Linked DNA regions of Oryctolagus cuniculus. The protein of the gene in region 1 purifies or fractionates together with the protein of each later gene. This does not show direct contact. Links are inferred from orthologs where the notes say so. Each region holds a gene or a part of one and is shown in the gene's direction. Other genes may lie near its edges.

Region 1 (5,670 bases):
GGGGCGGAGGGTGGCGGCTGTGGCCCCGGAGTGGAGGAGGTGGGGGCGGAGGGTGGCGGCTGTGGCCCCGGAGTGGAGGAGGTGGGGGCGGAGGGTGGCGGCTGGGGCCCCAGTGGAGGAGGTGGGGGCGGAGGGTGGCAGCTGTGACCCCGGGGCCCTCCTGAGCGGAGTCTCGCCTTGCAGGCCTCGAGGAGCAGGACCCGGAGAAGCGCCCCCTCACCCCTTCCCTCAGCCAGTGACGCCGCGGGGCCCCGGAGCTCGGCAGGGCCGCCCGCTGGCCACTGGAGTGTCGCGGGGGACCCCAGGCAGTCCAAGAGCCAGGGGAGCCCGTCCACACGGGGCGCGCGAGGAGAGCACTTGGACAAGGAGGCCTGGGCTCTCCAGCCCGCCACGGCCCGCGTAGGGGTCCCGGGACGGAGCTGGGGTGAGCCTGTGGACAGGGGGGATGGCTCGCGGCCTGCACTGAGGTGGCAGTCTCCGGAGGATCCCTCAGCACGAGGGGACTGGAAGGAGTGGGCAGGAGAGCCCCCTGCCCGGGCCGGGCGGGGCACCAAGGCCCACCACTCCCTGGGGACCGTGTCCTGGGCCGACCTCTGAGCCTTCCCTGGGACGCAGTGGGGCATAAGAATAAAGCTGAGTCCTGCCTCGTGTCTGTTGGCTGCATCTTGGAGCCTCGAGGTGCCGGGGACACAGTGGGACACAGCGGCCTGGCCCGGCCAGGACACAGCTGCAGAGGGCGCCTCCAGGGGCGGGGAGTGGGGTGGCAAGCTGGGGACAGCGGGTGCGGCCACCACGACCCTCACACCCGCTTCTCTCCCTTCCCTGCCTTTGTCCAGCCTCCTCGTCCTCTCTCCCAGAGCCCTGTGGGGCCAAGCCCTGCCCCGGGGAGCTCGTAGCCTGGTGGGTGGGTGGAGTCTCTGAGCAGGGCCCCGGGGTTACCGCCCTGGGAAGGGGGGCAATTAGGTGGGGCAGCAGGAAGTGAGTCAGGGTACCTGGGGCCGCCCAGGGCAGGGTGGGGCTGCCCGAGCCGACAGGAGGTGGCCTGAGCTTGGAGGTGTGCGGAGCCCCGGGGCGGCAGCCAGCCCAGCCTTCCCGGGGCGACCTGCAGCAGCCCCGCTTCCTCTTCCTCTCCGCAGAGGCTTTGCAGGGCAGTGTGGGGCGGTGCACCCCTGCCCCCAGCTGTCAGAGGAGCTAAAACTGCCCCCGGGCCTCTGGCGGCTGCCGCCCCCTCTCACCCCCCACCCCCCTGGAGGACAGGCCAGCCAAGGGCCCTGGGCCTCAGGGGAGGGGGACTCCCCTGAACCACGCTGATGCCCCTTTTTGGGGATCTGGGGTGGGTACTGCAAGACAAGGAGGTGTGCATGGCCTCTGGTGGGCTGTGAATGGGGGCGGGGGCTGCCCCTCCCCGCCGCAGGGTCCCGGCTTGGTACTGGCCCCTTGCCGTAGCAGGTCCTGGCCTCAGAGCGGCCGAGCCCCCAGCTTCCCTGCAGAGCCCAGGCCACTGCGGGGAGAGAGGCTGGATCGGGAACCCAGGGGAGATGTAGCTGGTCCAGGATCACAAAGCAGGCCTGAATCCCAGCACCCTCCTAGCCTGGCCAGCGCGGCCTGAATCCCGCACCCTCCTAGCCTGGCCAGTGCGGCCTGAATCCCGCACCCTCCTAGCCTGGCCAGCACGGAGAGCTGGGGCCGCTGAGTGTGAGGCGTGGGGCTGAGGAGCCGGCGGCGGGCGCTGGCCGCTGTCAGCCGGCCTTGGGCTGCTCATTTGTCGAGCGGACACACCACTCCGCTCTCCTGTTTGCTGTGGACAAGAAGGGGACGGGGTGGTGTGATTGGCAGGGGCTCCAGAAAGTCCCAGGAGGATGCTCGGCTGTCCGCAAGGCTGGCGCGGGGGCACGGGCTCCCAAGGTCCTTGCCACCACTGGCAGCAGCAGGTGTCCTGGGGCGCATACCTGGCTTGTGCTCACCCAGCAGGGCCTCCAGGTCACCCACGGGCCCCCGCCAGGACTCCCGGCTGTGTCCAGGTCCCTGGGAGGGTTGATTGAGGTCCCAGAGTGCAGAGCTCTGACGCCCATCCCCGCAGCCCCCCGCCGCCACCCCGCTCGGGAGACAGGGCCAACCCTTTCTGGCCGCCGCCTGCCGCTGTCACGTTCCAGCCGCCTGACTCAGGCCGCGGCAAGGCGGGGAGCCGGGAGGCGGCGCCGGCGCCCGCCTCAGCCCCGGAGGCGGCACCAGGAAGCGCCCGCCCCGGCCGGAGCCGCCATGTAACCGGCGCCGCCCGGAGCCCCGAGCCGCACGGGGGGGCCCCAGCGACTCGTCCCCCGCCCGACATGGGGGACGAGGACGAGGGCTGCGCCGTGGAGCTGCGGATCACGGAAGGTGGGTGCAGGGCCGGCCGCCGGCTGCGCGGGAGGGCTGGGAGGAGTCTCGGGCGGGCTGGGCTCATCGGCCCCTGTGCCCACAGCCAACCTGACCGGGCACGAGGAGAAGGTGAGCGTGGAGAACTTCGAGCTGCTGAAGGTGCTGGGCACGGGAGGTGAGTGCCCCTGGGCACCGGGCAGGTGTCCCGGCACGGCGTCCCGGGGCCTGCTGCCCGCACACCCGCCTGCTCTGGGGCCAGGCTTCTGGGAAGGCCCCCACCCTTTCCCGGCTCCAACCGGCCATCCCGGGGTCGGGTGCCCACTTCCCGGGCGCTCCATGTTGGCATCGTCGCTTCCTGTGGGGTCCTGGGCATGCATGCCCCCTCCCGCGGCTGCTCGGAGGTCCTGGGGGCTTGCACCCCACCCAAGTGGCTTGCACAGCGCCCCCCCTTCTCCCCACGTGACAGCCCCCTTGCGCGTTTGCAGACTCCCCCAGGCCTGCTTTGCACATCCCTCCCTTGGCCAGGCGTGCAGCCGGGCCTCCTCCCCGCATCCTTCCCAAATGCTTTCTCGCAGGTTGGCACACGCCCCGCCCCCACTCCTCCCTCCCCGGGCTGCACATCCCTTCACGGCCCCTGCTGAGCCGCCCCTGGGCTGTGCACACCTGCTCCTCCAGCTCTTTGCACGCCTGCCTCTCCCCCTGGCTCCCCCCACACACCTCCCCAACACCACCCCAGGTTTGCACGCCACCCTGGGTTGCGCCCGTCCGCCTTCCCACTCACAGCCCCTCTTCCTCGCCCTCGTCTCTCGCAGCCTACGGGAAGGTGTTCCTGGTCCGGAAGGCAGGCGGGCACGACGCGGGGAAGCTGTACGCCATGAAGGTGCTGCGAAAGGCGGCGCTGGTGCAGCGTGCCAAGACGCAGGAGCACACGCGCACGGAGCGCTCGGTGCTGGAGCTGGTGCGCCAGGCGCCCTTCCTGGTCACGCTGCACTACGCCTTCCAGACCGACGCCAAGCTGCACCTCATCCTGGGTGAGGACCGGCGCGGGCCGGCGCGGGGGCGGGGCGGGGCGGGGGGCAGGGGCGGCCGCGTCCTCACCTCCACCGCTGTCGCCCCAGACTACGTGAGCGGCGGCGAGATGTTCACCCACCTCTACCAGCGCCAGTGCTTCAAGGAGGCCGAGGTGCGCGTGTACGGCGGCGAGATCGTGCTGGCCCTGGAGCACCTGCACAAGGTGGGCGGGCATTGGCCCCTGGGCCTGGCGAAGCGGCTCCCGAGTAGCAGCCTCGGTCTCTCCGGGCTGCCTGGGCCGGGTGGGCAGCTGCTTCCCCCTCCCGCCCCAGGCCCCCTGGTACTGCCTGCTGGGGTGTCGTCCCCCCACGCGCGCCTCCTCGAAGGGGCTTTCCTCTCACAGGGAACCCGGGGCCACCTCCCCGGAACTTCCTCAAACGCAGGCCTGTGCTGTGGCTCCCTCGCCTCTCCACACACACGGGCCCCTCTCCCTGGAACCCGGGCCTGCGCGCCTTAACTGGCCTTTGGCAGCCAGCGGCCCAGCCCCGCGCTGGGGCCCCCTCGGCAGGCAGGAGGCGCCGGGGGCGCAGGAGGCGGGCCCCGCTTGTCCCGAGCTCGGGGGCTGGGGGAAGCCTCAGCGCCCGTCTTGGCCCCGCCAGCTGGGTATCATCTACCGGGACCTGAAGCTGGAGAACGTACTGCTGGACGCCGACGGCCACGTGGTGCTCACGGACTTCGGGCTGAGCAAGGAGTTCCTCACGGAGGAGGTGCGCGCCCCCGCCCCGCCCGCCCGCCGCTCCCGGGGGGGGGGCGGGGGGGCGCGAGGAGCGAGCCCGGCGCCCACGCGGGTCCTCTCGCCCTCGCAGAAAGAGCGGACCTTCTCCTTCTGCGGCACCATCGAGTACATGGCCCCCGAGATCATCCGCGGCAAGGCGGGCCACGGCAAGGTGGGCCTGCGCGGGCGGCGCGGGGCCGGGGCGGCGCGGGGCCGGGGGCGCGCGCGCGGGGCCCTGACCGCTCCGGCCCGCAGGCTGTGGACTGGTGGAGCTTGGGCATCCTGCTCTTCGAGCTGCTCACGGGGGCCTCGCCCTTCACCCTGGAGGGCGAGAGGAACACGCAGGCCGAGGTGTCCCGGTGAGGAGGGCCGGACGCGGAGGGCGGCCGAGGGGCAGCAGGGCCTGCCTGGGCGGGGCCGTGGAGGGGGGCCCCCCGCTGCCCCTGACAGCACCCCCATCCTCCCAGACGGATCCTGAAGTGCTCCCCTCCCTTCCCCCCCCGGATCGGGCCCGTGGCACAGGACCTGCTGCAGAGGCTGCTCTGCAAGGACCCCCGGAAGCGGCTGGGCGCGGGGCCCCAGGGGGCCCAGGACGTCAAGAGCCACGCCTTCTTCCAGGTGAGGCGGGGGGGGGGGCGCTGGAGGGGTGCGCTGAGCCTGGCCCAGTCCCCTTTGCTTTGGAAACTTGTCCCAGAGGAAGCCAGCGTGCCTGCGCCAAGGCTTCTGCGCCGTCTCCTTGGAAACCGGGAAGCTGAGGTTCAGAGAGGGGAAGGCGTTTTCCGAGGTCCCCCACCCCCGCCAGGTGGCGGCGGTCGCATCCAAGGCCGGGCCTCTGTGACACGGGAGCGGGGGCCTGGCTGCGGGCGCCACGTGTCACCCGTGGGAGTCCTCCCCGCCTGCCCGGCCTGGGAGGGGGCTTCCCACGTGCTCTCAGAGGGGGGTCTAGGTCTCAGGGGCGCAGGGGTCCCTTTGGTGGGGGTGGGGAGCGGGCAGCTCCGTCAGCGGACGGCCCAAGCCCACCCGCCCCACGCCGGGTGCTGTGCGGGTGCCGGGAGGAGCGTTCCCGCCCCCTTCTCTCTGGAGGCCCCTGGTGGCTGAGTCCTGGTCTTCGAGCCCAGCTCAGCCTCTTGGCTGCTGGGGACAGAGAAATCTAACTGGAAATGGTGAAAACCTGGGTTCAAGTTCTGCCCCCCCCATTCCAGCTTCCTGCCGATGTGAACCCCGGGACGCAGCCGTGGGATGTTCCAAGTAGCTGGGTCCCTGCCACTCATGTGGGAGACTCGGGTCGGGTTCCCAGCTCCTGGCTTCCGTGTGGCCCAGCTCCGGCTGTCGCAGGCATCCAGGGGGTGGGAGGAGTCTGCCTGCTTTTCAAATTAAATACATAAATACTCTGAGACAGTTTGGCAACAGCATAGAGGTCTTTACTGCCTGGCGTCTCCAGGAACCCAGCCAGTGTGGATATATTGCATATATCTTAAATATCCCTTCCATCCCGACCTGCATCCCAGAGGTGCCTCAAGGCCCAG
Region 2 (4,073 bases), on another chromosome or scaffold:
GGCGCCGCCTCAGGTTAGCGCACCGGGCCGTCCTGGTTGTCAATAACGCTCAACTCAGGACAGACACACCCGACCCAGGTCCCTCAGCACGGAGCCCGTTCGTACCTCCCACCTCAGAAGGCCCGAGCTCAGGGTAAAACGTGGGGCTCTCCTGTGCAAGGCCGTGCCCGACTTGATAAGAACTAGGAGGGTTGGCCAGGGCTCACTGAGGGTCCCCGAGGGCAACGTCTGCGACCCGACTCGCCTCGCTTCTTCCCCCGCCCCCTCTTGGCCCCTCAGTCCAGTGAGCATACGACTCTATTTCCCAGGCTCCTGGCCCCGAACGCCTTACTTGGCTTCCGCTTCCGGTGGCGCCTCGCTGTGCCCCGCCCCCGAGCCGCGTCCTCGGGGGCCTCGCGACACGAGGGTCGTGAGTGAGCTGTCCTGGGATTCGTAGTTCGCTTTTCCCTCGCTTCGCCGGTCTCTCGCCCTAGCGGACTCCATCTCCCAGCGTCCACCGCGGCTCTCGCCCCTCGGCGCTTGCGCGTTGCCCTCTTCCCCACCCTCCCCGATTTCCACTCCCCCCACCCGACTTCGCCTGCCGCGGTCGGGTCCGCGGCCTTCGCTGTAGCGGTCGCCGTCGTTCTTTGGAAGCAGCTGTTCCCCTCCCCCACCCCGGTCCCGCTCCCCGTCCAGCTGGTGAGTGTGAAGTGGTTGCCCCGCGGAGTTCCCGGTCCCTAGGAGCGGCACATGGGGTCTCCCCGCCTTGAGGTGGGGGCGAGGAAGGAAGTGACCCGGTCCGTAACCGTGGGAGGGAAGGGTGGCCGGAGAGCGGGAGGCAGGCTGTGGGGACTCCGTGAAAGAGTACCTGGCGGTGCCCGCCCCTCGCCCCGGGTCGTGAGAAAAGGAGGTGTCGGTCGTTGCTTGGCAAAGATAAACTTCTAATTCTTGGGGAAGGGTGCCGGAGCCCTGCGGTGGTAGGGAGCCCGAGCCGAGGACTCTGCCAGAGTTGACACAGGCGAGAGGGGTCTGGCCATCGGGGGCGCGGGGGATGTAGGTAGGGACTGCTGGGTCGGTACTTGTGGGCTCCTGCCAAGGAATTTCTAAGTTCATTCAGAGAAAAGGGGCCGAGGTGTAAATAACAAGAGCTAGAGAAGCCTGTCCCAAAGGCTGGGATCCTTTAAAAAAAAAAAAAAAAAAAAGGGTGGCCCCAAATTCTTCCATGGCTGAAAGACAGAGTGTGGGAGGAGGGAAGGTGCCAGAGCCGGGGAGGGAGAGCTTGGACTTGACTCCTGTTTCCAGCTGACGTGAAGATGAGCAGCTCGGAGGAAGTGTCCTGGATTTCCTGGTTTTGTGGGCTCCGTGGCAATGAATTCTTCTGTGAAGTGAGTGCTTTTCGTTCTTCCTACTCGCTGGTTCCATGCGTTCAGGTTGGGTATCTTCAGCTTTTGCACACTTTATCCCGTGGAAACTCCTTCCCGTGAAAGAAGGGGTCCCCTCAGTAACCCCCCACTAATCAGCGGCGATGTGGCAAGACTGGGGCCCAAGTCCCATTTCTGTCACACACCCCACCGCACCCCCAGGAGGATAACATTGAACTAGTCAGACCATCTTTTTTTTTTCTTTTTCTTTTTTAATTTTTTTATTGTACTTAAAGTATCTGAAGGTAGAGCAACAGAGAAAGTGAAGGATCTTCTGTCTACTGGTTTATGTCCCAAATTTCTACAACAGCTACTGCTACCAGCCAGGCTGAAGTAAAGATCCCAAAACTTACCTGGGTTTCCCATGTGGGTGGCAGGGACTCAAGTACTTGTGCCATCACCCTGCTACCTTCCAGGGTGTGTGTTAGCAAGAAGCTGGAATTGGAAGTGGAGTTGGGACTTGAACCTGAGCATTCCAGTTTGGGATGTGGGTTATCTCTAACCATGTAGGAACCACCGTGCCAAGTGTCCTTTCTCCTTTGCTTTTTCATTACTAGAATGCTACTGGTAGTGCTTATCTCTGGGGGCTGTTAGGAGAATTGGAATACTGCACCTTAAAATGTTCTGTAACATGCAAAGCTCTGTGTTGACATAAGGAATTCTAACCACCTTCAGAAACCAAGCTGTTCAGCCTCCACCTTCCTCAGAGAGCAGCTGTTCCCTCAGGAGAGGACAGAACTGGTTCCTAGAGATGAGGAACAGGACTAGAGACGCGGGAGTCGAGTGTGTCTCTAAGGAGACTGCTGTGCTTGCTTGTCCTTGGAGGAGAGAAGCTGGAGCTTTCACGGGGGGGAGGGCGTGCGTGTGAACTCGGGACAGCGGCTGAAGTACTGACGCTGAGTTGGAGTAGGAAACAGGCAGACCAGACGCAGCCGTGTGGCCGACAAGGCGTTCGTTAGGTGACCTTGGCCAGCTCAGAAGCTGGGGGTCCCAGTAGGAGTTTTCCTCTTGACCTCCGTGTTCTACCAGGTGGATGAAGACTACATCCAGGACAAATTTAACCTTACCGGCCTCAATGAGCAGGTGCCTCACTATCGACAAGCTCTAGACATGATCTTGGACCTGGAACCTGGTGAGACACCCTCAAGGTTCATGGTGGGGGGGCTGTTTTTCTCTTCAAATTACCTCTTGAATTTACCTCTTGAATTTCTAAACTTCCTTTTGGTTCTCTGACACCCTTAACCTCAAAGTCCCAGCAGCATTTTTGCCCCCCTCCTTGAATTCTTGCCTAGTTTTGTGACTGATAGCACTTGCTGCCATACTTTCTGAATTTGTAGCTCAGCGCTCCTCCTTATGCGAGTTTCCTCGCGGGTCTTGTTTACTGCCTCTTTGCCTGCCTTGCACCCTCCAGTCTAGAGTTCCACCTTCTGTGTTGACATCTTTGTATTTACGTACTAAGGAAGGAGTTGGGAGGGAGAGAAGAGAGCAGAGGCTGAAGAGGTGTGGAGAGAAGGCTGGGCTTCCTTGGGTTGGTGGAAGGGGCAGAGACCCAGGTTAAATGCCCACGTGAGGACTGGGTGAAGCTCAAGGATGGGTGCTGGGCAAACTGGGCAGCCAACAGCCCTGGGGGTGGGCGGGGCACCTGGGAAAGCTGGAACGCCAGTGGTTGCATGTGGCTGGCCCATATTTCAGACGAAGAGCTGGAAGACAACCCCAACCAGAGCGACCTGATTGAGCAGGCGGCCGAGATGCTTTACGGATTGATCCATGCCCGCTACATCCTCACCAACCGAGGCATCGCCCAGATGGTGAGGCCTCTCTGCGCCTGCGTGACTCCTTGTGAGGCAGTAAGGGAAACAGGTTCCTACAGTGAGCAGTAATCTGGCAGCCCTGTCAAGGAGTCGAGCTGAGATGAGAAAAACCCAGAGTTTGGGCCGGGAAACTGAGTCCTCCCTGGACGTCCTGCTGAGGGGGTGTCTTCAGGGAGGGCGATGTGAGCTTGGTCAGAGTTGTGGACTGCTTCTTCCTCAGAGAACAGACGGCAAATGGCCCTGGATGTCATTAGCCTCCCTAACTGGGGGGAAAGTTGGTGGGCCCCTTTGATCTGCACAAGGACCTCCAAGAAGAGGGAGGAAATGTGGAGGACAGAGTTATGTGGGGGTCGCTGCTTATCCTCATACCCACCCACCAATCCCTTCCATTTTTTTCCCTTCAGTTGGAAAAGTACCAGCAGGGAGACTTTGGCTACTGTCCCCGTGTATACTGTGAGAACCAGCCAATGCTTCCTATCGGTGAGTATTGAAGAAGGGAGAGGGGGCACCATCTGGCAGTCCTCTGGGAAGGAGTTGGGCTCAGCAAGGCGGGAGCTGAGTTCTGGGGCAGGGGACTCGGCAGTGTCGCGGGTGCCTGGCCTGCTGAGTCTGGCTGTCTCCCAGGCCTGTCGGACATCCCAGGTGAGGCCATGGTGAAGCTCTACTGCCCCAAGTGCATGGACGTGTACACACCCAAGTCATCGAGGCACCATCACACGGATGGTGCCTACTTCGGCACTGGTTTCCCTCACATGCTCTTCATGGTGCATCCCGAGTACCGGCCCAAGCGACCCGCCAACCAGTTTGTGCCCAGGTGGGGAGCAGACAGAGTCACCATGTGTCAAAGGAAAGACTCAGAATC

The links. The genes of interacting proteins can lie anywhere in the genome.
Region 2: the proteins of RPS6KA4 (region 1) and CSNK2B purify together in Homo sapiens (affinity purification with mass spectrometry; 3 studies listed by BioGRID and IntAct, with this or other methods). This does not show direct contact. The link is inferred for Oryctolagus cuniculus from reciprocal best matches to the Homo sapiens genes RPS6KA4 and CSNK2B.

The regions. Positions count from the first base shown.
Region 1 is NC_091432.1:6,979,488-6,985,157, reverse strand, and holds the start of RPS6KA4 (ribosomal protein S6 kinase alpha-4), read left to right. Parts: upstream 1-2,236; 5' UTR 2,237-2,327; coding exon 2,328-2,376; intron 2,377-2,461; coding exon 2,462-2,533; intron 2,534-3,170; coding exon 3,171-3,389; intron 3,390-3,476; coding exon 3,477-3,592; intron 3,593-4,028; coding exon 4,029-4,136; intron 4,137-4,235; coding exon 4,236-4,316; intron 4,317-4,399; coding exon 4,400-4,503; intron 4,504-4,611; coding exon 4,612-4,762; intron 4,763-5,670. Other genes in the region: CCDC88B (coiled-coil domain-containing protein 88B), read left to right, coding at 184-597. UniProt on the Homo sapiens protein: Serine/threonine-protein kinase that is required for the mitogen or stress-induced phosphorylation of the transcription factors CREB1 and ATF1 and for the regulation of the transcription factor RELA, and that contributes to gene activation by histone phosphorylation and functions in the regulation of inflammatory genes.
Region 2 is NC_091436.1:138,947,093-138,951,165, reverse strand, and holds the start of CSNK2B (casein kinase II subunit beta), read left to right. Parts: upstream 1-1,273; 5' UTR 1,274-1,292; coding exon 1,293-1,364; intron 1,365-2,429; coding exon 2,430-2,532; intron 2,533-3,092; coding exon 3,093-3,208; intron 3,209-3,615; coding exon 3,616-3,691; intron 3,692-3,835; coding exon 3,836-4,025; intron 4,026-4,073. UniProt on the Homo sapiens protein: Regulatory subunit of casein kinase II/CK2.